Linked DNA regions of Struthio camelus. The main gene of each other region encodes a partner of the protein of the gene in region 2 in a complex. Links are inferred from orthologs where the notes say so. Each region holds a gene or a part of one and is shown on either strand. Other genes may lie near its edges.

Evidence for each region.
Region 1: the proteins of PDS5B (region 2) and WAPL are in contact, whole or in part, in a crystal structure (PDB 5HDT), measured with the Homo sapiens proteins. The link is inferred for Struthio camelus from reciprocal best matches to the Homo sapiens genes PDS5B and WAPL. Residues at the interface, in NP_055847.1 of Homo sapiens: Gln47, Phe88, Ala92, Pro93, Ala95, Trp137, Val138, Lys139, Ser140, Asn142, Ile143, Phe145, Glu146, Glu187, Gly188, Asp189; in NP_055860.1 of Homo sapiens: Lys7, Thr8, Tyr9, Ser10, Arg11.

The regions. Positions count from the first base shown.
Region 1 is NC_090948.1:33,733,210-33,747,786, reverse strand, and holds the start of WAPL (wings apart-like protein homolog), read right to left. Parts: upstream 5,932-14,577; 5' UTR 5,660-5,931; coding exon 5,568-5,659; intron 4,711-5,567; exon of another isoform or gene 4,507-4,710; intron 2,900-4,506; coding exon 2,376-2,899; intron 1-2,375. UniProt on the Homo sapiens protein: Regulator of sister chromatid cohesion in mitosis which negatively regulates cohesin association with chromatin. Involved in both sister chromatid cohesion during interphase and sister-chromatid resolution during early stages of mitosis.
Region 2 is NC_090942.1:198,625,067-198,640,129, forward strand, and holds the start of PDS5B (sister chromatid cohesion protein PDS5 homolog B), read right to left. Parts: upstream 5,474-15,063; 5' UTR 5,345-5,473; intron 4,682-5,344; exon of another isoform or gene 4,663-4,681; intron 1-4,662. UniProt on the Homo sapiens protein: Regulator of sister chromatid cohesion in mitosis which may stabilize cohesin complex association with chromatin. May couple sister chromatid cohesion during mitosis to DNA replication.

The DNA.
Region 1 (14,577 bases), on a different chromosome or scaffold from region 2:
ACTTACTAGCTTAAGGATCTATATACCCTTTACACAAACCTGGCTGAATGTGGCTGAGGTCAGGAGCAGCAGGGAAAGTGAAAATGGTTACAAGGAGAGCAAGGGTACACTTTACCTTAGGAAACCACACAGTAAGAAACAAACTTTTTATTGTCATACAGATTCTTCTTCTCCAATCTCCCTCTCTCCCCCCGCCTCAAAAAAAAAAAAAAACACACACACACACACAATAAGATTACCTCCCTCCAGTTCTAGAAGATAGCCTTATACCCTCCAATTTACCTTATACCCTCTGACGCTTTCAGAGACTATTTTTATTTACTTCAGATAAGTCTACCTACAAGCATAATAGCTGCCTAATCTATTCAAATTTCACTTGCACTAAATGCCGAAACAAACACTATCGCTAAAACCATAATCTTTGTTTCCTTACCCTTATTTAATGCCCCTTCTAGGGATGTTAGGCAGATTCAGTCTCTATTTAATTTGATTTCTGAAGAACAAAATTATGAAGTGGGTTTTTAATCTTCACTTGACTAGGTGCAAACTGCTCATTACAGGAAATTCAGAAAGAACGGCATTATCAGGGCAAGATCCACCTTGGCCATCATTCCATTTCTGACGGATTCGCAATCAGTAGAAAGTACTTAGAGAACACAGGCAAGAACAATATTCCTTCAGTAAACTGTTGTTTAAGTAACTTGCCTACATCCAGACCACCCTTACATTCAAACATCACTGGTGAACTTATCCATCAAAACTTATCAGTTTCCTTTTTCGAGAACATATATATTTATGGCACAACTATTATTTTCTTGAAAGGAGTTCTAGAATTTAAAGAAGCATCAAATGAAGTAGTATTTCCTGTTCTAAATATTTTATTTTTTCCACAACACCAGAACCAGAAAGCAGCAACGAAACTGCTGCACTCAGTTCCTCCTGGCCCTTTACGCATTGGGAATTTTTAGAGCTCTAATCACGTTTCCTCCCCAAGTTATTTTATCCCCAAAAGACTCGAAATATTTTCTCTTCTAAATCGAAAAACACTTTCTCACTAGGCTCTCCTACATGGAAATCGTTTCATTCTAACACCCCCTCTGCTGCACTCTCTCATCAATAGCCAACAAAACTCATCACTGTTTACAAGGAGATGAAACAGCAGAGAAGGAATCTCTTGAAAACTTTTATAACTTTATGTTAATAGAACATAAATTTCATTTCTAGCCTGAATTCACATAGTACTTACAAATAAACTGCAGAACCCTATGAAAAATAAGAATAATTTCAGCAGCAAAAATAGGGGTAAAATTGGGTAGGGTAAAAACTACGTAGCCTAACATTTGTTTCTGACAGACTACAGTTTCATCAACATTTTTTGGTTCCTCTTACACCGTGACACAAATCTCACACTATTCAGTATCTTCCTTGTCTACTGTATAACAAGTGAACAAGTCCACTCAAATTTCTGATCCGAGGGATAAGTCAGCTATACCTCAGACTTCAGAGTTACGTAAGTTCTTCTCATTAAAGTCCATTGTGACAATCTAGAGCAAGTCAGTAGCTGTTATCTTCCTCAAGATTCATCTAATGTGATCTTCTGCCCAATGTTAGGAGTTGCAGTTTAATCAGCCCATTATATAAAAACTTCTAATGAAATATAATGGCACCTGATCTTTATCCAAGAATGACTTGAACAAAACTAGAGTGATGTTTAGCACCACGGGGTTTGTGCATTCTCGCTCAAAATCAGAAAGTTATCCTATAAACAGACACTTTGGGGCCTGAAAACAGCCCCTATTAGAAGTTTGACAGAGTTCTGCTTCCTAAGTCTGAAGCTTTTACAAACACATTGATAAAAAGTGTGCTAATTGAGAAAAATAACATATTTCTGTGCAACAGAAATTCAGAGCACCCACTTTTTCCATACAAATCATTAAGCAGGCAGGCAGCAAGCCTTATCCCCATTTACCTACACTAAATTAGAGTCAGTATCTTAAGAACATTACATTCCATTATTACCAAACCTTCACTTTTTATGATACCACATATTGAAAAGACATGAAAGCACAAAGCTCAGAACAAACGTCAGAAAAGGAAGATAATTATTCCATTCTACACAAAGTGGGCTAACGCATTATGTTGAATTTAAAGCACCGTATCTGAATTTGCAGACATAAGGAATCGAGTACCAAGGATCCCAGACCAACACAAGACATACATTGTTTCGTTGCACTTATAGTTTAAAAGGAGATGAAAAATCAGCTGCCCCAAGGTTTGATTAGAATATTTAATCAACCTCAGAAAGCACTAATCCTCAGCGTAGATCTGAAAAACTAGAGGGTAACAACACTATTCAGACAGTTGGGTCAATGTACCTGCAGTTACGAGTTTAGCACTGCTGCCTTTGCATTCTCCATCTTCTACGTTTTTGCTTGTGCTCTTTTCTTTTAAGCTGGGAACAGTATCATCAAAAGATATGCACTTGCTGGACACAATGTTTTCTCCGCTGTCTGGCTGATTAATTCTGCTATTAGCTTCAAGTAGAGAAGTGAAGTCCTCAGACTGAGCAGCTTCACCGGGTTCCAGCTGAGAGGAGCTTTTAGCCTGTGACACATTCTTTGAAGACACGGGAAGAGACTCTTCATCACTGTCAAATCCAAATGGATCCTCTGTTACCTCATCTTCAACTTTGGGTTTTTTAGGAACTTCGGAAATATCTGGTTTGACACTGGGCCTCTTCTGTCCTAATTTGGCCATGAAGGTGGTTTCTCCCCATTTTGTACTAAGGGTGGTCCGTTTGTTGGAAAATACTTCATCAAACTTTGAACTGCCATTTCCTCCTTTCCTGCTGTAGGTCTTTCCAAATCGGGATGTCATTTTGGCTCCTGTTTCATATTCTCTGTTGGAAAAGAAAGAAGAAACAGCTTTACTAACTTTTTAGTACAAACGATTGCAATTCCACCCTTTATTGGGCCTATGAGCACGAGACATTCACGCTTCACATTAACAACAGATACATCATCAGTTCCTTTCTACAGACTAACTGAATTCATCCACAGGTGAACGCCATTATCTGTCAACATTTTCTGCAACAAGTTTCACATCCATCAACTTAACCTGAAATCCAGTTACTTGCACATTTATAAAATAAAGATATTGCACAATGAATCTGTAAGAAGAATCTGCTATGAGTGCATTATTTTTGGTATGTGCTTTGCTCTAGTTTTATATCTCCTAGTATAGATGGCACTGCTTCCATGAAACATCAGCAAAAAACAAAACAATACTTTCAGCACATCTGAACGTGTAGCACTCCGCTAGAATCCCATAACACAGTATCATTTTAAGAAGGCTCTCCGTAGTTAAAAATTAAAGGGACTGTCAAAATATTCCAACTTGATATAGATGTTTTAAATACGAATTCGTCACAAATAACAATTTCACCTCATGCTTTTCTTAAAAGCTCAGGCTTACACAGTAAGCATATTTTGTGGTAATACCCTGTGGCTTATACCATCTGCACAGTCATGGCCAAAACCAGTACACAGCAACCCCCCATGGCTGGGCTTGATTTGGTGAACGGACAGGAACAGACATTTCTAAATTCGTTTCTAAGAACATGGAGGATACCTACTGCAAACAAACACAAATGATCACTGTTTACTGGCTGTTATAGCTGTAGCCCAGTTCAGAGCTTGCTCTGTCAAAAGAGTAAAGTTTAAATATAAACAGATTAAACAGAAACACATTTAAACACTTCCCTTGGTGTGTTCTATTGCTGCTTTTGTTTGATTCAAGAAGGAAGACAGAGCAGCTTGTTTCTTGTTGCCAAAACAAATACCGTGACTCCTAGACAAATGACAATATAGAACATAGAGCTAACATATCTACTTTACAAACCAGAATCTCTATCTTTTTTTTTTTTTTTAACTATTATTATTAAGTTTTTCAGCCCTAACATGAACAGGAAAGTAGATTTTTTTTTTTTTAAATAGTCAATATGACTCTAACCAAGTCCATCTCTTTTGTCTGAAAGTACTCTCCAGAGTAGAAAAAAACTGTTAGGAAAAAGGGAAAAAAATTCCTTTAAGCTACAGAATTAAAGAAACAACTTTTAAAGTGCCAACCCTTTGCATATATATTAAAGTATAAAAAAAAGGGCTTGAAATCTTCATTAATAAACTTGTGAGCACACTATAAATTTGTTAGAAAAAACTATTTTTATTCCCCTGAATCGGTGGCGTACTGTCCGTCTTTCATATTTTAGTTCTCATCATGATACACGCTGTTTCTCAACCTGAAATACCGGACTTACTTCTGCCAAAAAAGCCAGACTGTTTTCCAAAAATGTCATTCTATCACTGCAGCCTAGCAAGATCGTCTCACTAATAATAGTCTCCCGTTATCAGACTAGGCCAAGCTTCACTTATGGTACCAACCAAGCAATTCCTAGGGTCATCTGTGGGGCTAGGTGAACTAAAAAATAAGTTTCAGAAGTTTACCAACCAGATGGTGTTGCAATGCAGAAGATCCAGGAACAACCGTGCTGGGAAACATTCAACTCCCCAGCAGTTAAGCAGATGGATGATAAAGGCATATGCTTATGTACTGGCCAGAACTGTGCTATGAAATACCATTCTGCGGACTTCTCATTGCTACTCAGAATTAAACTAAACAGCAAGCGCTCTCTTCCCATAGCGTCACCTGTCTACTGTGCGGCACTCCTAACATGGCCGTCAAACTACTGTTTTTGCTCCCCTGATATTAGCTAATTTCCTATTTTCCATCCAAGAGTGAAACTACAGTCTCCCCACATATTTTAGAAAATGAACAGCAAAACAAATCAAACTTACTAGTTTTATTTCACCGCTCCTTGAAAATACTTGTAATAGAAATCAAAATATTTCATAGTAGGCCAGTTTTTACAGCTATAAAAAATGAACTATTTAATAACATTTGAATTTCTATGTAACTCTTATCAGGAAAAATTCATTTTGCTCACCACAAGCACATTTTTCTCCCTGACTTAAATAAATATTCCCAACAGTTTGCCCTTTCAGCATCCGCAAAAAATAATGGCAGGCTTAAACTGTGACTTGTGCTGTTCAGTTTTGAAAAAAAGATTTCTGTAGCCAAAAGTACTTCATTTTCAGTAAGTAGAGCTCTACACTCTAGACCGTGCTATTCACAAGATTAAAAATTAAAGCTTTCTCTAAAGAAGATTTGAACAAAACGGCCAATACTCAAATATATATATATGCTACGTGATGGAAACAGGTTAAAAGATGAGTGTCTGGGGAAAGATAAGTACCCTATACTATAAACGCATAGCTTGAAGTCTGATTAAAGATAAGGACAGACGTATGTACCTCCTTAAATCAGAATATCAACAGAAAAGGATTTTTCTTTTTTAATTAATCACTTTCAATTCTCCCTTGTTTTTTCACTCAGGGCAAAATAATAAACTCGGCCAATTTCACTCTGTTTCCATTCCCTGCCTCTCTCCTTTCCACACCTCGTGCTGCAGTATGTGGAGTAGGACAAGAAAGATAAATACAAGCACAAACCGAAAAATAAACCGCCTGTGTTCTCCGGAGTTACCCTGCCAGGCCGACCGGACATAAACAACCGACAATCGTAAAGAAGGCACATCAGTCATCTTTCCTCGCTGCTCCTTGCTACGCCACCCCTCTTACATAATCGAAGGAAAGGAAAATAGGTTAAATGCACGGAGGCAGGAGCAGCTGATGAAATCCCACGGTGACAGTTTCTTTTTTTTTTTTCCCCTCCTCTCTCTCTCTCTGCCTCCCCTCCCCCTGCGGGGGGGCGGGGGGGTGCCGGTGGCAGCGGGTGCTGGCGGAACCGGGTGGCCCCGCCGTGCGGGCCCGGCCGCGCCTGATGTCATTTCCCTTCGCGCGGGCCCCCTCCCCCGCCGCGGAGGAAAACCCGGCCGGGCCGCAGAGCAGCCCCCGCGGCCCGGCCCGGCCCGGCCCGCGCGGCGGCCGAGGCCCAGCGAGGCGGTTGCCAAGGGCAGAGCCTGCCCCGCCGGCCGCTCCCCCCCGCCGCGGGCTCCGGCCCGGCCCGGCCGCCCTTCGCCCCCGAGCAAAGTCCCGCCGCGGCCGCCCCGGCCTTCCCCGCTGGGGGGGCGCTACCGCCGCCGCCGCCGCCCCGGAAGCGGGAGAGGGCCGGGGGCCGCCCCGCCGGGGCCTGCTCCGCCGCGGCGGCCCGCGCAGGCCTCGGGCGGCCGCCGCCAGCCGCGCCGGCACCTACCTCGGCGTCAGCGGGGGCGGCGGGGCCCGGCGCGGCCCGGCGCGCTGCGGCGGCGCCACGGATGTGGCTCTCGCCGCGGTTCCTGGCCGCCGATCCGCCGCCTGCGACAGGCGCTCGCCGACGGGGCTCCCCCGCCTCCGCCCCTCCCCCCGCGGCGGCGGCGGCCTCCCGGGCGGGCGCAGGCGCTAGGGCCCCCGGCGCCGCCTCCTCCGGCGCCGCTTCCTCCGCGCCGGGATTATCGCCGCGCTCGGGACAGGCCCCGGGACCATCTCTCCGCCATTTGCCCCCCGCTCCTTCCGTCACTGCGCGTCCCGCACCCGGCCGCCGCCCGCAGCCAATCGCACCCCGCCTTACTCAACCGACGGCCGCGCCGCCGCGCATGCGCCCGCCCCGCGCGCGCCGGCGCCGCCGCGCCCGCCCCGCGCGGCACCTGCTGGGAGTTGTAGTTGGCGGGGTGGGGGAGGGGGTCCGACGCCGGCGGCTCGCGAGTCGCTCCGGCCCGGCCGGGCGCGGCGCGGAGCCCTGCGGGGCGCGGGGGGCCGTGCGGCTGCCGCCGCGGCACGGAACAAACACAGCGCCGATGCTCCCCCCCACCACAGCGAGAGTTTGGTCGTTTCCGAGCTGCTCGCTCCTCTGAAGAAACCACCACCCCCCCCCCCCCCGGAGCCTAACAGCAGTCTCAGCGAGCGGCTAGCAAGCCTGCCAGCTGCAGAAAGGGTTTAAAATACAGGCCCCAAACACTGGAAATTAAGAAGGGGGGGAACCCGCTGACACCACTGCACGGAAGAGCTTAGGGTTGTCTCCGAACTTGCAGTTAAGAATCATGACTTTTATCCTCGATTTTTCCCTTTCCTTCACACAACGCAAATTCAATAGTTTTTTTAGTAGACGTGACAGAGTCTTGTTTTGTTTAATGATCCTGTCAGTAAACCAACTTTCTGCCTTTACCTGACACCTATTGATGTACTGACAGGTAGTATTTTTAGAGAACAAACTCTCCAAACGTGTTCCTTAAAAGACACTATACAATTGCCACTAGAAAGAGAAAGCGAAGATAAAGTAGACCAGGGCCTCGTGATGAGAAGTGCAGGCTTGATTTGCAATATGATAGAGGTGCTCATTCTGTTTGAAGGAAGGTTTAAAAGATTATTTACATCTTAACCACCTGACTCGGTGATTGAAGAGCTATTAAAAACAGGTTATACATTTTAAAATACACAAGTTGAATACAAATGGGTGAGCAGCTCCCGCCTGCCCCCACGACAATTCTTTTAGCAGAGCTGCTAATTAGCTGGTTTAAACTTCAAGAGTAAAATGGATGTCTAAACCAGCCTGAGTTTTGCATTCTATTGCAGGAGTTCAAAAATCTTATTTGGTGACTAACTGCTCTGTTAGAGCCAAAAACAGTCCTGTGACAACTCAGAATGAGCACAGGAGTCAGGCTCTGTGGAGTTCATTACAGCATAAACAACTCTATTCTGAGAGGCACAAAACATAAGGAACATAGCCAGAATAAGGCTAACAAACTGTTAATAACAAGCTGTTTGAGAATACTTTCTAGGAGTATTTGGAAATAAAATAGAAATTTTAGAGCTTGAGCTACTGCTACTCAAGTCACTTAAGCAGCAGCAGTTTAGAAGAGTTGGCAGGATAGTGACAGTCGCTGGCTAGTAGTAGTTTGTTTGAAAGCTCTCACGTACCCTAGCCCCTGCCGGCGAGCTTCGTCTCTCCAACAGTATTTCTACGCTCTGCGGAATCCCCACATACAGTAATCCAAAGCACTGCAGCATCACGGTCACGCTTAAATTTCACGTGACTAACAGAGGGTAAGTTTAACCTAACTTATGTGCTGACTATCCTCTTTTTGGTATTAGCAGAAGGCTGTAAGGCTAATAAAACCTTTCACTTATTTGAAAGCTAACAAATTGTCATGTTCAAGAACAGGAGAGACAGGCCAATTCTTCTAACACCTACCTTACTCTAGATACTTTTGAAAATGTTTATACCAAATACCTTAATAAGTTAGCAAACAGCATGTTAATCTTCGCTATTTCTATTTTATCTGGCTTACCTCAAATATGCAAGTACCAAGACAGAGCAAATATAAGCCAAATCCCACCTACTCTTGGCAGTAGGTGGGTTTAATTCTCCTAAAGGATGGAGTTTAACAGGCATCTTACTCCTTTTGTGGAATTCTATTACTGATAGTTGCCATCTTCCTTTACAGAAAAACAGATACAGAGGGGACACTCCATTTTGGCGTTCGCCTCCATAAAGAAAATAGTGAGAGGTAAGCAGCCATCTTAAGTCTTCAAATTTCCTGTCTTAAAATAGAAAGACAGACAGACAGACTTCTACAGCTTTCTTATCACATTCCATACCCCCCCCCAAACAAGCATCATTACTAGTAATAAAGTCAGAAAGCACTGAAAAACACAGCTCAAATGCTTCAAGGCTAGAGATAAAAGAGGGAAAAGTAGGGCAGAAGAAGAAACTTGTAAGGACAGAAGAGTTACTCAGACATATCTCATCCTGATAATGATGAACCCTCCCACTTCTGTTTCTCAAGTTCTATGCTGAGATCTCTATGGGGGTACAGTGCAGACTTTTCAAAATAAGTTATAGCCAAGGATGGAGCCATTTACATGATTCAATCTTTCAGCAGCCATTACAAGATTTTAAAAAGTGTTTCAACTTACATTTTCCTCCAGAAGAAAATGGAGGCAACACAGTAGGAAAATGGAAGAGTTCCCAGTTAGCAGTTACTATGGGGAAAGATGAAGACAGCAGCGTCCTTTTAGAAGCTGTCAGAAAGCTTTCTCAGTGCTTGGCTTATCTTCATGGCCAAAACTAGCATTTGACAGTTGTGTGTACTTAAAGTTAGGCTCCCAAGCAGATTTTTATGCAAATCAGAACAGTAACTATCCTTTATATCAAGTATCTGAATTAACAGCGTAACGCATCCTCCCTGCACCCCCTTTTCCCATAAAAGGGGAACGAGCTCAATAACCCGTTGCCCCCAGGCCCTGCTAAACACTGTTTGCCAAAGGCAAACATTAACTCACAGGAAGGCTCTATTATTCCTAACATCCAGACCTCTCTCCTCAGGATCATGAAACCCACTAACCCCTCAGTCCTCTTCTCTGTCTTCTCCTCTTTCCTCTTCTTCTGTGTCTCAGCCTAGCCCCTCTTTGCTTCCCATGTTCCCCCCAGCTTTCAACAATCCTTCCTTCCTTGCCTTTCTTCCAGGTGGGAAAGGATGGGGGAGAAGAGGATGTCCTGCTGCATTCACAGCTGCTGCAAAGCTTTCATGTCCCAATTAGTGCCACTTAAAATGTTAAACATTTCATGTGTTTTGGTTTTTCTTTGTAAAATGTCAGTCTCCTCCCGTTCCTGTCCTTCAGGAGGTGTCACCCAGCATGCCCCGGTGAGAGCACTCAGGGCTCTGCCATTCGCTTGGCGGGGGATGGAATTTTCCCCTTGCTATTTGCATAGCAAAGATGAAAGGAGGGTGAATAGATGCCTTAAGTACCTAATTATCATGTTTTAGTCAACCTCTCTGAAATAGCTCTGAAAATAGTTATTTATACACTAGTATCACTGCTAATACGAGGTGGAGGAAGTTCAGCAACACCAGTGGTAGTCTGGGAGTGGGTAGAAAAATGCACTTGCGCCGTGCTGAGAACACCAGCAGCTGGATCAGAGTGGACCGTAAAGCAGCACTTAACACCAGCGGAGAGGGAGAGGTTTGCAACTCAGCTTGTAAGGAACTGTGATTTTTGTCAATAAAATGGCTTTTCTTACTAAGGTGTTTCACCCGAGTAGAATATTGCTTATTTACTGACATGGAACCCTGAGAAGACCGACCACTTTCCAAAAGATCCAAAAGGGGAAGCTTGATACAGTGTTGGATCACATTTTTCAGTGTTTGTATCATACTGTAGCTTTCTCATCATGGGAGGTGGCCAAGATCCAGCATTAAGTTTAATAACGGAAAGATTAAAACAAGCACCACTGAGGGAAACAAAAGAATGCTTATACAAGCGCAGCTAGGAGCTGCTTCTCGCTGATAAAAGGGTTCTGGATCATGGCACTAATGAATCAGCCCCAGGCAGCCAGCAGAAAAAAAAGTTGTGCTGCTCCACCTTCTCTCCAGCCTGTACACCTATCTGTTGCAATCATGTGAGAGGCTTCATCATCTCTGTTATGTAAAAGCCTCTAGAAATACTAGTTCTGCTTGACAAACCAACAGTAGTCATTCACCTACGGCTAAATTCTTGGTGTTTGTTCTGTGCAATTTTTTTCCCCTAGGTGAACAGCCTGCAAGTCTACTGGAAAAACCTGTGGTGAGATACTAGTGGGAAAAGCACAACGTAGCCTCGACCTTCTTGTACTTTGTCACGATCAGAACTTTATTCCGCTATGGAGTTTATCTCGGCAAGCTACACTGAGAGAATAAACTGCCTGTGCCTTTTCCCACAAAGAATTTACAACACGTCAAGGTGTTTCAGGAGAAAAACTCACTTGCAGTGAGGATGCAGCCTAATTTAGAAGTGATCCTTCAAGGCAAAGAAAGCTTAGGTTCTTTGGTAAGGTAAAGTTCACATTGTTTTGTTACGGAATAAAAGGGGACTGAGTCTCTCGAATACCTGAGATCTGCTGCAGCCTTATCAGAGGACCAAATTCAACACCAACCTTCCCCTCTCCCCCAACTTTTCTTAGAGAGCTTGATGATGCACATTATTGTTGAATGCTGAATCTATGTCTATCTTCACCATGCCAGCCCTTAATACAAGCTACCAAAACTCACTGTCTGACAAAATATCTGCTGGGGAGTGAAAAACACAAAAATGCAACAAGCAACTGGTGTTTCAAATCTTCTTTCTGATAAAGAGTTCTTTTGATAGGACTCTCATTCTCCTGTTCTACTCCTCCTCTAGCAACAGAGGACCAGCGCCATGTCTGTTGTTCGTTTTCCTACTTTTCTTCCCTTACCAGTTTGAAAGGGCATATATGTGAGCATTATATTCCTTTGTCCTCTTAGTGTTCGTTTTATTAAGTTTGTGTGGCTCTTTATACACAGATCCTATAATCACTCAGTTCCCCTTCTGAGTTTTTATTTACAAGATTTTTGTTTTCACTTTTGTGTTTCCCAAGTACTTGTTTCTACTTTTTAGAAAGAGTAGAAGTCAGCCAGTAACTGACCACTTCTGCAGCAGTTACAAAACATTGAACCATAGAAAAGTTAGGTCAAACAACTAAGCTACTGCTGCACTGAGAGCAGTATGCGTGTCTTTTAAGGGTTATATGTGATGATACCAACAGCAGCAACGTAAACTACAACTAAAAAAGCAAATCCAGGAACAGCTGAAACCTTGCAGCACTAAAGAGGATTGGATAGATGTTTCCCTGAGCCTCACAGGAGAATTAATGTACTTATCAAGCAAACTAAGCTGATAAAATTAAAAAAAAAAAAAAATTGCATCAAGATTTTCTCATGAAAAGGTAGGAGGGTAGCAAAATAGCAGTTACGGGCTTCATTAGCTCCCTGCTAGAATACAGCCCTAAAGAAATTACTTCTCCTTTATTCAGATTACCACGCGGTACCATAAAGGAAGCTGCAATGTCTCCTGCCTCTTGCATAAGAGCCTGATACATCCAGCACCGATACACTGTGCCAGTTCTGCAGTCCTGTCTGCATTTAACAAGGTTCCCTACGTACAAAGTTACCATGCTCTGGGTAACGGTCAAAGATCATCCTACTGCATGCAACGGAAGTGCACGTTAATGAGTGCTGACAGAGTATTTCAGAATTATATTTGAAGAAGATAACAAAAGGCTAAAAAAAAAATAACCTGCATATTGATTAGTTCTTTAGATATATCAAGCAATGACTCATTACTGGATCAAGAGACATTCAAAGACTACAGAACAGGCAGTGCATTTACTGTCCAAAAGCAGATTATTACCCTAATATATTGGCCTGCAATGGCCTCCTTACGCTCTAAGTTTTCTAGTGGATGTGTGATCTTGAATTTCTGAGATAAATGTTTACTGTTCTGTGCATCCCAGTCATTCCTTGGTAAACGTTTGAAAGACGTTGGAAGAACGTACTGATACAAGAGCTTAGGCTTAAAGTAAGACTGCTTTAGCTAACTCAAATGCCTCCTCGGAGGTCTTCATGAAAAATAAGCCTTTTACCATGTCTATTTAATAACTGGGGAAAACAAAATCTAACTCTTCTTTTCTTTCTGTCTTTTGATGTATGATGTCAAATGGTTAGAAAATACTTAGTAGCCATAGGAATCTGTTTGGTGCTAGTTTGTGCCTTCCAGACAGCAAATACCTGAGAGCATATTACAAACAAAATACCTTCGCTGATCACCCGTCTAGCAACCACATGGCAGCAAAGCACTACAGCTCATTAAAACAAGAGAAAAATCACTTCATACTCTTCTTCAGCTCAACCCTCAGCAATCTCATTCAGCCCTGTGCTCCATTTCTTGTAATACAAGGTCTAGGATGTGAGACCCAGATCTTCAGAGAAAGATCTATGTAATAAAGTATTCCTGCATAAAATTAAGGACATAGGTTATAGATCATACAAATTACTTCTGATGTTTCCTACTATTTACATTTATTGGAATTTACTTCTGAGAATGGAGAAAAACAAACATTAGCATCGGAGTAGGAGCATATTGCTTATTTCTAGAGGTAGGTGTACACAGATCTTAACAGTGGGGCTTCTGCTAGCTTTTCCACCTGAAAAGTGGAAAAGTGAGAAGTTTCTCAGACTTGACGAGAGCTGCTTTGTGGCTGACAGTAGGCGTCCTTTCCGTCCCATTCAGTTCCCAGACTCTGTTGTAAATGTCAGTGCAGGTGACAACGAACTTGAAGATTTGGGTTTTTTGGCTTGATTTCCCCCTGTCCTCCCCCACCGATGGCGCAAAGGCTCAGTAACCACAGAGGCACTGCCTAACCGGCTTCACCTTTCCATCAGATAATCACTTTGGTCAATAGCACCTTGGACCAAATTCAGGCATCTTGCAGAGGAAAAAAGTTTCAGAGTTCTCTCCCAATCCACAGGGTTATCCACTGACAGTTATCAGTAGCTGAGAGAGGAAAAAAACTTATTTGAAAGATCATTGGTTTCAGTCCTTTGTTTTTACTGGATGCATGTCAACACATGTAAATACCAAATGCTTCTCTGTGAAATAAAGGTTTGATTAAGTAGAAATGGAACATTCTAAAATAATAATAGTTCTCTGCTGGACTCCAGTGACACCTACTGGTAAGTAATGAAGTTACCAAACATTTCTGGAAAATGTAGAAGCATTAACTCATGCACCTGCCCTAACTAACGGTTGTTCTGGCAGCTCAAGCCACAAATCATTGGTGTTACAGCTGATGATTTTTTTTTTTTTTTAATTTCTTCTTCAAAATAGTATTTTGATGCCATCTGATTGTTAACTACATGGACCTGCATTGTTATCACTCTGAGGATATCGTCAAGTCATAGATTAAGCCATTGGTAGCCATAAATTAGAACATCCCATGCATTTCTGGCTTACTGGAGTACACCACGACACGTCTCCAACTATTTCCTTAAGCATTTCATTAACACAGTAAAAAGTGAATTTAATACCTTTTCACTTGCTCTCAATTGCATACGTTTTTGCATAGATTCCAAAAGTTTAAGTCTCATCCCCAATAGCACAATGGGCAAAGATTGTGTTTTTGCTTCTGACAGATGCCTGCTCTGTGTCTTGCTACACTGTTTTGACACAGAAGTACTAGTCTTATAGTTCACAGAAGCATTGCTCAACAATGAACTGACAGCATTTATGAAAGAATAAATGCCAATATTTCCACTAAAAGATAGTTGGGAGTCATTTTTTCCAGCTTCTGTTCTGTGTCTTCCTCTTCTGCTAGGTAACATAAAACTCAGCTTTCTCATCCTGTTACTGGGAAAGCTGATGATGAGGTCTAGAAGGCTCCTGGAAGATCTTATTTAAAAGGCAAAACAGAAGGAATAGATGTGCCATCCTTTCCCATCTCCAGGAACATGATTCAAATAAGGTTTTCCCAACAGCCTTTGAGCAAAGATTAAAAGGAGTAGCTCTCTGTAATATGGTGGAAATATGTATAGTTTTTACATTTCTACAGGTTTTTCTGATCAGATAACGCAACCAAGCCAGCCTAATTTATGGCTACCAATATGGCTCTCTTGGTTGCCTTTATTTCCTTCTCAGGTACTTGAGACATTCTGTTTAGAAAGTGGAAATACTCCTGTGCATCTTTCAAGTT
Region 2 (15,063 bases):
AAGAAGATGCAGGCAATGATCCATTCAGAAATAAAAAGTTACTCTAAAGTTACTCTTTTACAACACTGTAAGAAAGCCCCTGCGGAGAATTAACTACAAGCAACATTTGTAACTTGGGGAAGATGTTCACAGTGCTTTGAGTTCTCAAAGCACAAAATACACCAATATTCAAAAATGAACACTAGAATATTTCTTTCAGATAACTACATACAAACACAAATTTCACAATTGTTAATACCCTCAATTACAAAAATGCTTCCTAGAGTTATTATGTACTGCTTAATCTCAGCTGCGCAAACAAAAAGGAAACATCTCCTATCTGCTACCTCTGAAAAACTCCATTATTGATATTAAGAATGCATTATTGCACTTACGTACTCTTTCGTCCATTTCCAAAAACCAGAAAAGTAAAGTGTTATAACCTCATTCTTACTAGTTTCTACTCCACAAAGTAGAAAATCCAAAGTAAAGAATATTATATACCATGAGCTAGGGGTCCACAGTTCGCCTCCTTTAGACCTTTAAAAGATACAAGTGGCACACTGAATGCACACAGACACCATCCTACACAAGAATTTCCACAGAGCATATTGAAGAGACTAATCTTTTGTAGCATCTCTTTGTTTCTATGTACAGGAAGTCATATTGAACTATGTACAATGCTTCATACTGAACTAGCAAACAACAAAATAATTACCAAAGATGGTTTACTGTTAAGTACGATACTATCCATCATCCCTGTACATTTTCCCCGTGAAAAACTTTTACAAATTTTAAGTATGTATCGATAGAAAAAAAAATCCATAAGGATAAAAAAAATAAGATTTCCACAAAGTAATCTGCCCACTTTTCATAACAAAAAAGAATCGTGAACAGTTATTACTGGTTAAGAACAGAATCCTAACCTATGCACCACCAAAGATTTCCTAGCAATTTGATTGCCTTCACTGAAAACATACACCCGTCTAGCAAAGCAGGACTAATAAAAGTGAATTGTCAAATTCAAGGTGAATCAAAGATTACATAAGGAAAGTTTCTATGCAGACTTTTTTTTAAAGTCTTCCTCATGACTAATATGCTTGCACTTAGAACGGATAAGGGTTAAAGGTTTTTGTTTTTTAAACAAAGTCATTTTTTTCTCTTTGTAAGACTTTCAGAAGGCTGATTCTTGATGTTGAATTGAACTACAATGTAGATACACTGGGGACGTCTCAGAGAGAACGAGAGGCTGCTCTGAAAGAAGTTGTGGACAACAAATGGATATCTTCACACAAAAGCTGAAAACTGCACTCAACAATTACTTTCTAAATGATTAACAATTATGCTCGAGCTGAATGATGATAACCTTGTCTTCCTTAAAACAGCTATGAACTGTAGTTTAGGTGACTACACTATGAGAGCAATTAATAACATTTTTGACCGCTATTTCTTTTTCCATTAAGAAATGCATAAATGAAGAGTCTAATTTAGACAGAAGAAGCATCTACTAAGATTTCTGATTAAGTCAGAGAAAAAGTACATAGAGTTAGGATTGGCTAGAATCAATTCCAAAGAAACAGGGCCTAAATTAGAAAGCCCCAGATGGGGTCCTGATCCCTGGTTAGGTACTACCATATAAATGGTGGCAGACAAGATGATTAGTACAAACACATCCATCTGTTCCCAGTGAGGTATGACTTTTCCTTTCTCAAAATTAGCTTTTCCAGTATATTAGTAACAAAGCTGTCATCAGCTGAAATAACAGAGCTCAATATCACTCAATATAAGGAAAGGAAAACACTGTAGAATGTTTTCCACTGTTGGAATAGGATGCAAAAGAGTAAATTCCATAGTTAGGAACAAAATAATTGAAGGACTTAATCTTCAGAACCTACTTCAAGGACTATATATTTCATCATATTTTAGAGAAGGTTAAAAAGCAGTATAGGCAGAGAAGGAGGGACAGATAGTAATAATCTTTGAAAATAGTTGAAGCATTAGTTTCTTTTTAAAAATCAAAATGTTAAAATATTAGTCACATTCCATGAAATTGTTTCAAGTTAGACACAATACAGTAATTATTCATATAAATAATTGTATTTTTATTGTGGAATCCAAAATGTTCCAAAGAGTTTTTGAAATAAACCACTAACTTACTAAAATAACAAGGTTTACTTTCATTCAAACTCTCTAATTCTACTGATATATTTTACTTTAAGAATATATTTTGATAAATATCAAAACTAAGCAGAAAATCAAATTTTCTAAGCAGCTACATTCAATTAAAAAACCTCACCAATGAAACAGCAGCTAGCATGTTATCTACATATAGGCACAATTTCAATTTTAGATATTCAACCTCTGAGGGAGAGATTTTTTTAAAAGCATATATTCTGCAATTCTTCAGAAGTCTGCACATGATTCCCTCCAGGATCTGTCAATGCTGTTCCACTATAGTCCAGATGAGACTACAAATCAGGGTAAATCAACATGAATACTTTCCTACCAAGGATGATCACGCTGCCTAACACCCTTAAAAAAAAAAAAAAAAAAAAAGCAATGAGTTTCCTCAGTTTTCCCTTTCCAGCTAGTTCCCAAAGCAGACTGAAAGCCTTCAAGATTTTGTCAGTCTTTCCAAAGCCTATTTCAGGTTACAATAATAAGATTCTGTGTTCAGGGTACAAACACCACTACTTTAGAAACTTACTGAAAGAAGTATGATACACAATCTTACCAGTTGTCAGTACCAGAACTACCTTTTTGTTCTAATAAGGAAACTTATTAAGGAAGTGCTGGGGGGGGGAGAGGGGGAAGGAGGGAGGTGGAGACTATATCAAGAAAGTAGAAGGTAAGCATTTGGGCAAAATAATATTAAAGAAAGGTAGGAAAAGGGACATTAGAATTTGTTATTTTTCCGTATCAGTTTCGCTCCATTTGTATCTTACTTTCCTCCATTCCCTACTTGGCACACTTTTATCATCCATCTTCACGTTTTCTTAGACACTGCTCCCCTGAAATTCTCCTTGTGCAACAAGTAGCCTGTACCATCTCTTCAAAACTTAGCCTTAAAGAAAACATTTAGTCCAAAACCTATAAATGAAGAACCTTTACTACATGACTCCTACATATGACCATACAACCTTTTACTCTTTTGTATGGGCTCAAATTGTGTGAGCAAAGAAAGAATCAGAGAGAATAAAGAAAAAACATAACCTGAGATCCTGATGGAGCAATGTATCCCAACAGAAAAAGCATCTCTTTTGCTCTATGGAAGGGAGCACAGCGTCCTGTTCTACAGCCAAAAATGGATAACGCCTGAGGTCATGCTCATGTTTTAATACTATACTCTTTCCAAATACTATCAACTACCGGTGTTTCTTGTATTTTTAATTACAGCTTAATAAGAATTTAGTCGACTTGCTCAATTTAACTCTATATGTAAGCTTGCTAGACACATTCTTAAAGTAATATTTATATGGCACACAAGATAAAAAGATGTTAGCATACAAATGTTACATACATATGATTTTCCATTTGAATTTGATTTACTTTTTACAATAACTAAACTGTAGTTTAGTTTTTGCCAAAACAGTTATCCAGTCTGTCCAATAAATAGTGAAGAGAACGCAAGAGACACACAGGCAATTACAGTTGTACAATAAGAACTAAAAAAAAAGCCAAAAACCAAAAAACACCCTCACCATAATAAAGTACAGCCTTACTTCAAACACAAACACAAGATGTCACGCAAGTACTAAACTACTTTCTCCTGAAAGCGTGCACTAGTGATGTAAGTGATAGACAATCAGATAAAGATAATTTAAGTGAGGTGTATGTATCACGTTCATCACTCTCAGTTTCTTTTAGAATACTCTGAGCATAAGGTAAATTCAGCTGTTTCATGTCTTTCTGAAGTATTACTTTGTACAAGCACATACAATATTTATAGCGTATCTATATTACACAGAAAATGCGCTGAGTAGAATTTCTATCAGAAATACAGAAAAATAGAAGAATTCCACTGGTTTGGAAGGAAAAAACCTGAAGGCATGCACGTCACCTTACCTCCCTCCTAAAACACAGGCTTTGACACCCATTTTTAACTATACAGGCGCTCACTTTTTAAGCATTTCATCTATGCCATCGTCAGCAAAGAGAAGTCAATTACAGCCAAAGCACCTACCCATCAAACGCAAAACAAAGACCAACATAAAAACATTTCAGCAGTTGTGTTAGGTCGGAAAATAGAATGCCTAACCAAATGATCAGAGTTCTCCGTAAGTAACCGCTCAGGAGTCAAACATGCAAGTCAGAATAAGGCTTGCACAACAAAACCCAGCTCTGTAGGAGCTGGTCTGCTGCAGTTTAATTTTCCAGCATTGCTCACCATCATTAATTGTTGATTTGTTTTGAAAAATAGATAGTGATTTATTTGCAGCGGGATGAAGTTACAGACCTAGATTCCTGACCAGAGGCTCTCAACGTAAACAATACAAAACCTATAAATTAACCACTCTTCATCTGGCAATTTAGATGTAAAATTCATAGTCCTTCGTCTAAAAGGCAGTCCCTACTCCCCCCCGTCTTTCCTTCGCGGGTGCCTTCTAACAGAGCCTGATGCAAAGAATTAAAAAAAAAAAAATCAGCCTGAATGAAACGAGCTCGCAGCAAGTGGGGACTCACCGAACCGAGGTCCTCCCGGTCCCCACCTCTTCCCGGCCGAGGATCACTGCTAAGTGCAGAGCGGGGAGAGAACGAAACGGCGGTGGGGGGGGGGGGGTCTTTGGCCAAGCCCGGGCAGCGGCGCGAGGCGGCGGCGGGAGCCCTGGGTGCAGCCCGAGCGGGGCTAGGCCAGCTGCACGGGGCAGGGAGGGGACACCCGCTGGAGCCGCGATCACCAGCGCTGGAGAACAGCCTCCCTCCCCCCGCCCGCCACTACCCCCCCCGCCAGGAGCCACGGGCGCTGAGCGCGCGACGCCGCCCGCCGGACAGCCGCGAGCGCCCCGGCCACTGGGGGGGGGGGGGTGACCCCCAGACCACAGCGCCGAGCTGGGGGCACAGCACACCCCAGCCAAGGTCACCCCCTCGCGGGGCCTCTCCGCGGGCGCGGAGGGGGGCGGCAAATTTAATTTGCGACGCCAGCCCCGGGAAAGGGGGGAGGGGAGCAGCCCCGCGAAGGGGTGGGGGGGATGGGAGGGGGCTCAAGTCCCGGGCCACGGGGAGAGCTCCCCCCCTCACCCCGCGCTTCTCCTCTTCCTCAAGCGCTGGCCGCGGAGCTCGGTCCGAGCTGGCGCCCCCCGCCCCCGCCGAGGAGCGGTGGACGGGGGGGGGGGGGTAACCGCGGCCGAGCTGCCGTGCTCCTTACCCCACTGCAGCCGCCTCGCCTCGCCTCGCTGGTCCCAGGCGGGTCCGCTCCGCGCTGCCGCTGCTCTGGGCTCGGAGAGGAGCTGCCGCCGTAGCCGCAGCCAATCGCCTCTAACCCCCTCCCCTTCCGCAGCTCGCCCCGGTCCCCCTGTCGGCTTCAAAATGGCGCCAACTCGTCTCCGGCTGCTCCAATGGAACCGCCGAGGGAAGCGAGCGAGGCCAGTGCGGGACAGCAGCGCCCCCTGCCGGCCCGCGCGGCGCCGCGCCGGCGCGGGCACGCGCCGGGACCGCCGGTCACACGGCCCGCGGCGAAACTCCGCGAAACGGCGTCCGGCCGCCGCGCCGAGCCGGCCCGCGGCGCCCCAACGCCACTCAGGGACACCCGCTGCCCTGGCGCCGCGGGCTAGGACCCCAAGCACCGCTTCCAGGCGAGGGGAGAAAGCGAGCCACGGCCGCCACCCCCCTCCATGCATACCCGTGCCCCGGGGCCCAATACAGCCCTCCCTCACTTTCCAGCAAGGGAAGCGGCGACGAACCCTACCTCCCCGGAAGACGTTCAGTAGTTACACGCCACTGTGAATCATGGCTTAAAGCGAGAAAAGAGACTTAGAAAAACTAACACGAGGTTTGCAGGCAAGCAGACGACCTTACTTCAGCAATCCTAGCAGTATAAACTGCCAACAGTTTCAGAAATCAAAGACCGTGCACAGGAGATGCAGCAAATGGCCCAAATCCAGAGAGGACTGTGCAATCAGTTGACAGATGAACTGTGGTAGATTTGCTGTTCTGCTGTGCAAATTAATGAAATAAATACTTCCCCAAGACAATATGAATTATAAAATGCTTGTTATAAAACAATGAGGAATAAAGATGCTCAGCTGTGGAGAAAGCAGAAAAAAAGTTGATGAGCAATTGCTCATCAAACCCTTTGGTTGCACTTCAGTGAGTGCAAGAGTTTCAGGGGGTATTCTGACAGGAAAATAAGAACAGAAAAGTGATGTAATTTAATCTCATTGCTACATAGAAAATGCTACATTTACGAATGAGATGTCTGAAGACAATAGATGTGTCCAAAGTGTTATGATTTAAAAGATGTGAAAGTCCTAGTCAGCAGATCTGCTGAAATACTTTCAAGGCTTTGTCTACAGTGGGATACAATCATCTTTTAAAGTGTGTGTTAGTTATAACATCTTGGCTAATATTTTAAATCTTTAAATAAATTCCTCAAGCTTTCTGCTAACACATTTAAAACAGCTTGCTTCACTTTCATCCAAATTTTAAACTCAGTTAAACATCCTCATCTTCTAACCAAATCTACATCAGTCCTATCAAGATAAAAATGCAAAAACTATTACATAGAAATGACTTTTCAGGCCCAAAACTACCCTTGTTTACATTTCTGAGAGTGAACTATTTGTCCTACTCTTCTGGAAAATGAACATACTACTGCACAGGCACAAAAAAGAAAATATTTTGTCTGGCAATTTTATATTACTGATTATCACTGGGAAGCATCCTGCACTTGCAGTCAAGGATATAATTTTTTCACATAAGTTGAACAATTTCTCTGCAATCCTCCCATTGTGCTGGCTTATCTAGATATCAGCTCTTAAGTTATGGAACACATCTCTTTTTTTAATGGAGCACTTGCACATGCGTACAGTGATATATACAAAACAGTAGACAAGCTGAATATTCATACAGCTATTGAAGTTGCAAAACCATGTGTATAATGTGAAAGTAACTATTGTGTTGCCATACTCTGTTTGCAAATATGTTTATCTTTTGCTCCCTTTTCCTGCTAGAACAGGCTACAGTAGCACTTCACACTTTCACCTCATATCAGGATGCCTAGGAATGATTTGAAAGTGAAATAAGGTGAAGTGCCTTGGTAGCAGGGCAACGGGAGGCCAGCCCCCCATTTACCGTCTGGCCTTCATTTCTTGCCTGGAGTTAGACTCTAAGATTTCAGAGGTCAACTTTCTGAGGTATTCCTCCGTTTCTCCACCCCCTCTTAATTGTGAGATAGTTAAAATACAGCACAAACATCCCCAAGATGCTTACTACAGGGATTAATGGCGTTTGGCTCTCTGCAGCTCAGCGGTAATAGCGTTCCTAACCCTCACGAGGGAGCCCTTCCGACAGCGCTTCTCTTCGTGAGAAGAAATCCGTTGCTAAACTTCAAACTGCCCTCCTGAAGCGTTACCAGAGATCCCCCTCCGGTTCGCGCGGAGGGGCGCAAAGCGTGGCGGTGGCCGCCGTTTGAGGAGTGCCGCGCGCCCCCCATGGCGGCCGCCCGAGTGGCCGTTGCTGGCGGCCGTTGGAGCGCTGAGGGGGCGCCCAACGGCCGACGCCGGCGCGAGGCTGCAGGAGGCAGCAGGGAGCCGCCGCTACCCCGCGCGTCAGCCCCGTCTGTAACCGGAGAGCCGAAATACCACCTTCTCAACAGTCATTTGTTGACTTAGTCATACGCGTTTCACCGGAGTTTCTTCAGAAAATACTTTGGGAAGTTTTAATGCTGCTGTGTGGGGACCTAAATTCTAGGTTAGGGAGGGAACAGCAAGCAGCCAGCGCCTTTCTGATCCAGTCCTAAAAAGAACTACCCTGTGTAATCTATAGAAGCAGGTTCCTGAAGGTGGACTCAGTGCCTCCCCCAAGAAACATCACATCTCACAGGGCACTGGACGACCGTAAGCAGACTCATTTTACTAGTTTTGCCCCCTTCTAGAAATACAGGCAAAAGAAATGATAAATGTATGATGTTACTTATCAATAATGTGTATAATCTTATGGAAGACTCACAATATGTACACACAATTGAATAATGTTTTGCTGAGTATGTCATACAGAGAAAGCCAGATTATGAAGACCAAAACTTTTACACAGAATTTCGTGAAGACAGTGTTCACATCGCCCTACGTTTAAGGGACAATGAACATCCCAAAGAACATCCTAGAAAACAGTACTCTCCTCATAGAAGTGCCTGTATCTCAGCTTTCTATCTGCAAAAACATGGTGCAAAAATAGCAGAGTACAATGAAAGGCAGCTCTTTACCTTAGCCAGAGTAATACACAGAACCTCCTCAAGACGGAAAATGCCCTTCTGAGACACACCAGTAGTCCGTCTAGCCTGGTTTTCAGCTGCACCATGATCTGAAATGTCATTTTCCCCAAGTGAGACTCATACCCTGCAAGTGCAAGGTATGCAATTTCCCCAAATGCAGAAAACTTGAAAGCATAATTTGTCGCACTAGGAGATTGCATTTATGCTTTTATCTGTATAAACAAGAACAATAGCAAAAGGAGATACTACTGAAGGAGACCTGCTTACTTTCTGTGCATTGTACACTCCCAGCATCCACAATTGCTGTAATAGGCATGTTGACATCTCTGGTTTGTACAAGATGTACAAACAGGGGTATCCCTGCCTATTCCATTTAGAATCCATTTTATGGACCTGTTGTCCATTGGTTTGTCTAGTCCCCTTTTGAACCTGCTGATAGTGTATATTTTCATAGCCTCCTTTGGCAGCAGATTCCAGAACAGCAAATAGCCCCCAGTTCTAGTATTCTTCATGCAACAGTTCTGCATTCACCTTATCCAGTGCCTTCCTGATCTGTAAAATTTGACCCTACGCCTCCCATCCTTGCCCTGTCGCAGTCAGAGTCCTAACCCCTTTGATCTCTCCTCCTAAGACAGCCAATCTACCCCCTTGATCATTTTAGTTATCCTTCTCCATACCTTCTTGAAATTTGCTGTGCCCTTGCAGCCCAGAACTGCACACTGTACTCACTTCAGATAAGGGTACATCAAGGCTTCCCATAGTAGCATGCTGCCCTCCCTCTTGGTCTCTGCTCTTTCTGATGACACCTAACTTTTCGTTGGCTTCTTCAGCTGCTGCTGCACTTTGAGCCAAAGATTTCAGAGGGCTTGTTAACAATACCTTCAAGATTTTTTCTGAGTTTAAATATCCAGGATTGGCAGATAATCCTATGTTTTACCTCACATTAATCTACCTCAAAGCCCACCTGCCATTTTTCTATCCATTCAGTTTTGTGAGGCTTTCTGGAGTTCTTGCCACTCGCACCACAGTTGATTACCCAGAAGAGCTTAACATCATCCAAGTATCATTCAATATGCACTCCCTTTTCCAGGTCATTGACAAAGATACTGAATAAAACAACATCTTAAAACAATAGCAGCAAACCCAAACATCTCTGGGAGACCACATTGCTGACTTTTCTCCAACTGTCAAGGTAATATCACCATCAGAAGACTGACTAAACATTTTCACTGAGTCTCCTTCCTTATTATAGTAACCCTGAGCCATTTGCAAGTGCAAATCTCTGTACATCTTTCGCCTTTTAGTCCCTCCATGTATACCAGCGCTTTCATTTGTCTTCTGAATTTAACACCTCAAATCCCCTTCTGAATACCAAGAGTGATAACTTTGCCATTCCATTTTTTCTCCCATCTAGCTTAAAGGATTAGGTCCTTTAAGCTACTCTGACACAGAAGAAGATCTCAACTCCAGTGCAGCAAACCCCATAGTCTCCTTACTGAAATCACTTCCAAAAAGAGTGTTCCATGGAAAAAGCAGAATCCAGGGGACAGGCTGTCTTTATTCTGTTATATATTATTGCTTTTTCTATAAATCTTAGCCATCTCCAGCACTTTATAAAATATATAACACAACAGAAAAAATAAAAATTTATTTCCACTACTTTGGCATGATTTTACCTTTTTTCCCCTCACAGCCTTTGCAATCTATCTCAAATGGGCTGTTTTTAAGCTATGTACTTGAACCAGAGTAGTACATGAAAAAGTACCTAACCTTCAGGATATTTCAGAACATATGCTATCATTCTTACTTTACCAGTCATACCTTTATTTAAATAAAAGCTAATGAGATATATCTCATAAGACTGAACAGATAGGGTGCTTGGGAGGAAAGCTGACAGGTGAGAAATGACGTAAACTTTCAAACCATTGCACTGTGGAATGAAGGAATATGCTAGGAAGGAAGCTGGGTCCTATAATAACTCAGCATTATAGACCTCTGCAATCCCTACTGATTCACCATAGCTAAATATTAAAATTGCCTAACAGCACCCTTCCCAAGCAGAGTTGGAGAACAAATTGACTGGAGGGAGTAAAAACTGAAATTGTCTTTTGTTTCCTTTATCAATAGTTTAGAGAAAATAAAAGCAGAATTTAAATTTAAAAATAAACATCAAAAGAGTAATCAAATGGTCTTTGTATCCATTTTTCACCTTTCTTGTCTGGCTTCTCTTTCTGAATGTATCAGGTTTGCAGTAAGGATACATTTGTTTCCAGCATAGGTACAGACACCTTTCCTTTTTGTTGTTTGATTTGCTTCTCTTTTAATTATGATGCTTACTTGAATCATTTAATCAAAAACTATTATATTAGAAAAAAAACAATTCAAATGTCATCTATTTACTAAGCCCTTCACACCAACAGGGGTTTTGGTCAATTAGGAGAGGGAGACAGTGCCTGTATACATCTTCTACTTGCAAAGGTAGTGATTTGTCTCGGAGACAGAAAGTAGCAGCTCATTCATTGGTTTTGGAGCTTGAATTAGAGGACTGATATTATCATGAACATGAGTAACTTTGTAACTGATTTTTCCAGGGATACTGATTAGGTGGTTTTAGGTATTGCATTTTAGTTTTTATGTCTTTTAAGTAATTTGCAAGGAAGCCACATGCAAACTGGGACTTAAAGTGAAAGGAATTGCTGGACTTTAACTGCGTCTGTGAGTTCTGTTTCCAGCATTGTCTTCCTGAAAACAGGAGTCAAAAAGCTGAGTAAGATTGTGATACTAAACAGCTACTAACTTTAATGTGCGCAGTATTAATTTTGAAGTTCAATAAGCAGCACTTAAATATTAGTGCTAAATGGTCTGACTCTACTGCAAATATCTGTGTCTTGTGGTTGTGTTTTAATAAAAGACTCGATAAGTAGTATGTGATAGCTCATTAAAAAAAAGGAATTACTAGAAAAGATATGTTACTTTTCAGAGTAAGGACAAGGAGGAAGCTTCTCTCTACCTACTGTTCTACTCTACCTACATTCTTAATATAATAGGAGTTAATATCTACAGTAGGGTAGGAGTAAGATTAAATGACCTAGTAAAAGAAGTCTTTTCTATTAAAATAAAAACTAGCACTCCTTCCCAAAACCCACCTTCTTGAGTCAGAAGCTGTAAATCTATCTTATCTCTGACCATCTTCAGATGGGATCCTAAAGAGAATCAGAGCCTTTGGAGACATGTAGAAAGAGAGAATCAAAAAAAATTGTTTCATGTTATGGTAACTAGAGGACTGGAAATATCATTAGGATTGCTAATGTTCTGAAACACTATCTGTCTCTTCAGTGCAGTAGAAAATCAATTGTGCTTCAGTTTGCTATCAGCCAGTGCAACTTTTATGCTGTAGCTATACAAATCTAATCATTTTGCTGTCTGATAGAAATAATGTTAGATAACACTAATCCACAAGCTTTTACTTTAAGGCTTCTAATACCAAGGGGGGTTAGAAGCCCCCTTTTGGGGGGATTTTGTTTTATTTTCTTCATTTGAGTCTTGCTTCACAACTGTTTTGTTATCAAATGCTATGGAATCTTCTTGCTACCATCCCTCACAGTAACTACCAGAGTAGTCCACCGACCACTCCAGCTACTTTCACTATGCAGACCTACAACTTAACACTAACATAACTCATGGCAGCTAGTATCTAAAAAGCTATAGTCAGGAAAAAATTATTCTCTCCTTAATGCCTTGCTGACAGGTGTGACAGAGAATTAGTATTTTGGGAGTCTGTGCAAGCAGCCTTTCTTTCCATGGTGATTAGCTCAGTTTGCCAGTGAATTAAATTAGTTTCTCCTTTGCGTTATCTTTAATTGATTTAAATGTTTTCCATCCTTAATTGAGATGTAGGATGGAACACAAGAGAGGAGAGTACATAACCTAAATACTCTTCAGCAATGATGCTAGAACGACAAAAATATTTAACAAGTGCTTTCATCATTAAGTTGCATCTGCAAGGTGAGAGTCTCAGTTGTTAAACTTCAAGTACCCAAATAAAAGTAACTTCAGGTAAAAAAATAAGCAAGTATTCTGCAAAACAGTGAGGACATCAACATTGCAATAATTACCCATGTTGCACTAAATCACTTTATTTCATCACCTCTTTTCCTCCTATTTGAAGAGTGATTAGCATATTAAGCATTAAATACTTAAATACATTCTGCTGTGTGAAATGTTGGATATTTTCAGTTGCTCTGATGCTGTTTCTCTTCTATTCACACCTTTTCCTTTTATCATTCCACTATCTGCTCTCTATTTAGAGCTGCTTCTTTTAATGCCCCATTGAATTTAAGTCTACAGAAGTCATTACACTCACTCTTTCCATTTTTAATTTAAATTTTAGCTGCTATTTACAGATATGCTTGCAGAATAAGCAATGCCTGGACTTCACCAAAATTGTTATTGGATTTTTATAATTGAAACTTTGATCTGGCATTTACATATCATTATGGTTTTTAAACATATATATGTTTCCGAAAACTTTTGGCAAGAAATACTCCTAGTTGGCTGACTAAGCCAGTTCTTCTCTCAAACTGTTATCTTGGGAGAAATTCTGGTGAACATTAAGTTCTGGTTTAAATTTAAAAAAAAAAAGAAAACCCACATACAACAGTATTTCCTAAAACCTCCTGAAACGCTTTTTCCAACAAGATGTAGTAAAGTACCAACAAGCAAAACAAAGATCCAAGGTGATCATCCTTTAGAAACAGGTATGATTGAATAAGTATGTGAGTAGTTCTACTGAACTCAAATGCACATCTTATTAAAAAGAAGATAAAGAGCCTCAAAAAAGTCATGAGGAGAAAAAAGTCCTCTGTGACATCAGGTCTGACTACAAGATCATAGCACAAGATCTAAAGGGATGAAATATCATTCCACAGTAACCCTTAATTGTGAGAAGTAATCTTAAGTACTGTCTGCTGGGTATTTATTTTGATTTTTTTCCTTATTATTCTAGAGGGAGTCTGATGATTCTGCCTATCTTATTATTTCCCAGTCTTTTCTGGGAAAAAGACTGCCTTCTGCAAGGCAGGTTTTAGGCATTTGTTGCTTTGCCAAAATTTATTTTTAGGTTAATAGTTAGGTTTAGTTTTCATGCCAGGTACCTCCTTCGTGCTGAATTATTTTGGGAAGTTTTATCTAAAACACTTCTAGAAACAAATTCAAAGAAACTTTTATTTTACAAGAAAGGAAAATTTACTCAAAATACGCAGTACTCCCTCTGTTACGAAATAGCAATTTGACAAGTCTGAAGAATTTTCCTCTTCTTGCTGCCACTGCAGTGTACTCAAGCTTGAGCATATGCTCTCTGCACAGAATTAAAGGTGCCCATTGCAGTATTTCTCCCTAGATTTATTTGTACTGAGAAAATTTGATCCTACACTCTGCCTGTGTAGACAGATTCCATCTGAGACTTGAGAAGCTGAGATTTCTTTCTGCAGTTTCTCCACAGCAACTGAATGCCACTGTGACACTGTGCTCCAGACTTGCAAGAGAGGATAAAGTCAGCATATTAATGTTTTACAAAAAAATGAGAAAGTGATAAGTAGAAGAAGGAATACAATAACCTGAATCAAATGGGAAGGGGAGGGAGGGAAAAAAAGAAGGGCATTAGAAGTATTTGGAAGTGGTAATAGGAGTATGGGGTGTAAAAGAATAATGGAAGTGAAGCAGGAAGCAAAATTATACTGAAAAGGAGCAGCAGAGGCCCAGAATAGACCTGCAGTAGCAGTAGGAAGAAACACTGGAGCATAACAATTGCAAGGGGGTATGGGCAACATGTGGTGTAGCATCATGTTAGTTCGTAATGAGTAGGGTAAGGTGATAGAGTTAAACTGATGCAACTGTTGAATGCTGCTGAAAGAAGGGGTACCATCCCCTGCACCCTCCCCAACTACACGTTCCTACCATTTCCCCTCAAATTTACCTGGGCTTGGCCCACCAGTGATAAGCCACTGCAGGGGCCCAGGCTCACTCTAGGCTCAAATAGGAACAAAAGCTCATACAGGGGAGGAGGCAGGACAGAAGCTAGGGGTACATAGAGGGGAAAAGAGAGGAGCAGGAGCACCCCTCTGGACAGTAACTTGGCTGCTAGTGTGGTTTAGTTGTAATATGAACCTGCACCTTGAGCAATGCTGTTCTACAGTATCTGAACTTGGGCCTGTGCAAAGAAGAGCAGTCTGTTAGTGTAACTTAATGCAGATACCAGAGGTCTGTTCCATTGTTATAAAGCACCAATTGTACTGATAAACTACACAGAAATCAGGATGATCCTCCAAAATGGAGTTGCATTCTTGCCTTTTTAAATGAGGCAATTAAATACAAAAACCACTTTGAAAAAATGCTACATTTGCAAAATTGAATGTTCCAGTTACATAATGTCAGAACTAAATTTTTTCCACAGATCTTTATTCAATTCCTGTATGCATACAAATTATGATGCTATCTATAATGTTCCAATCAACTCAGCCTACAAGGCCCCAGACCTGAATCAAAATCTGATTACATAAACTGAAAATTTTTCCTTTCACTCTTCTTTCAGATCAAATAAAGCCAACATTTCATCCATCAATACTAAGGTGATAGCATAAGCGTCAAGGAATACGGGA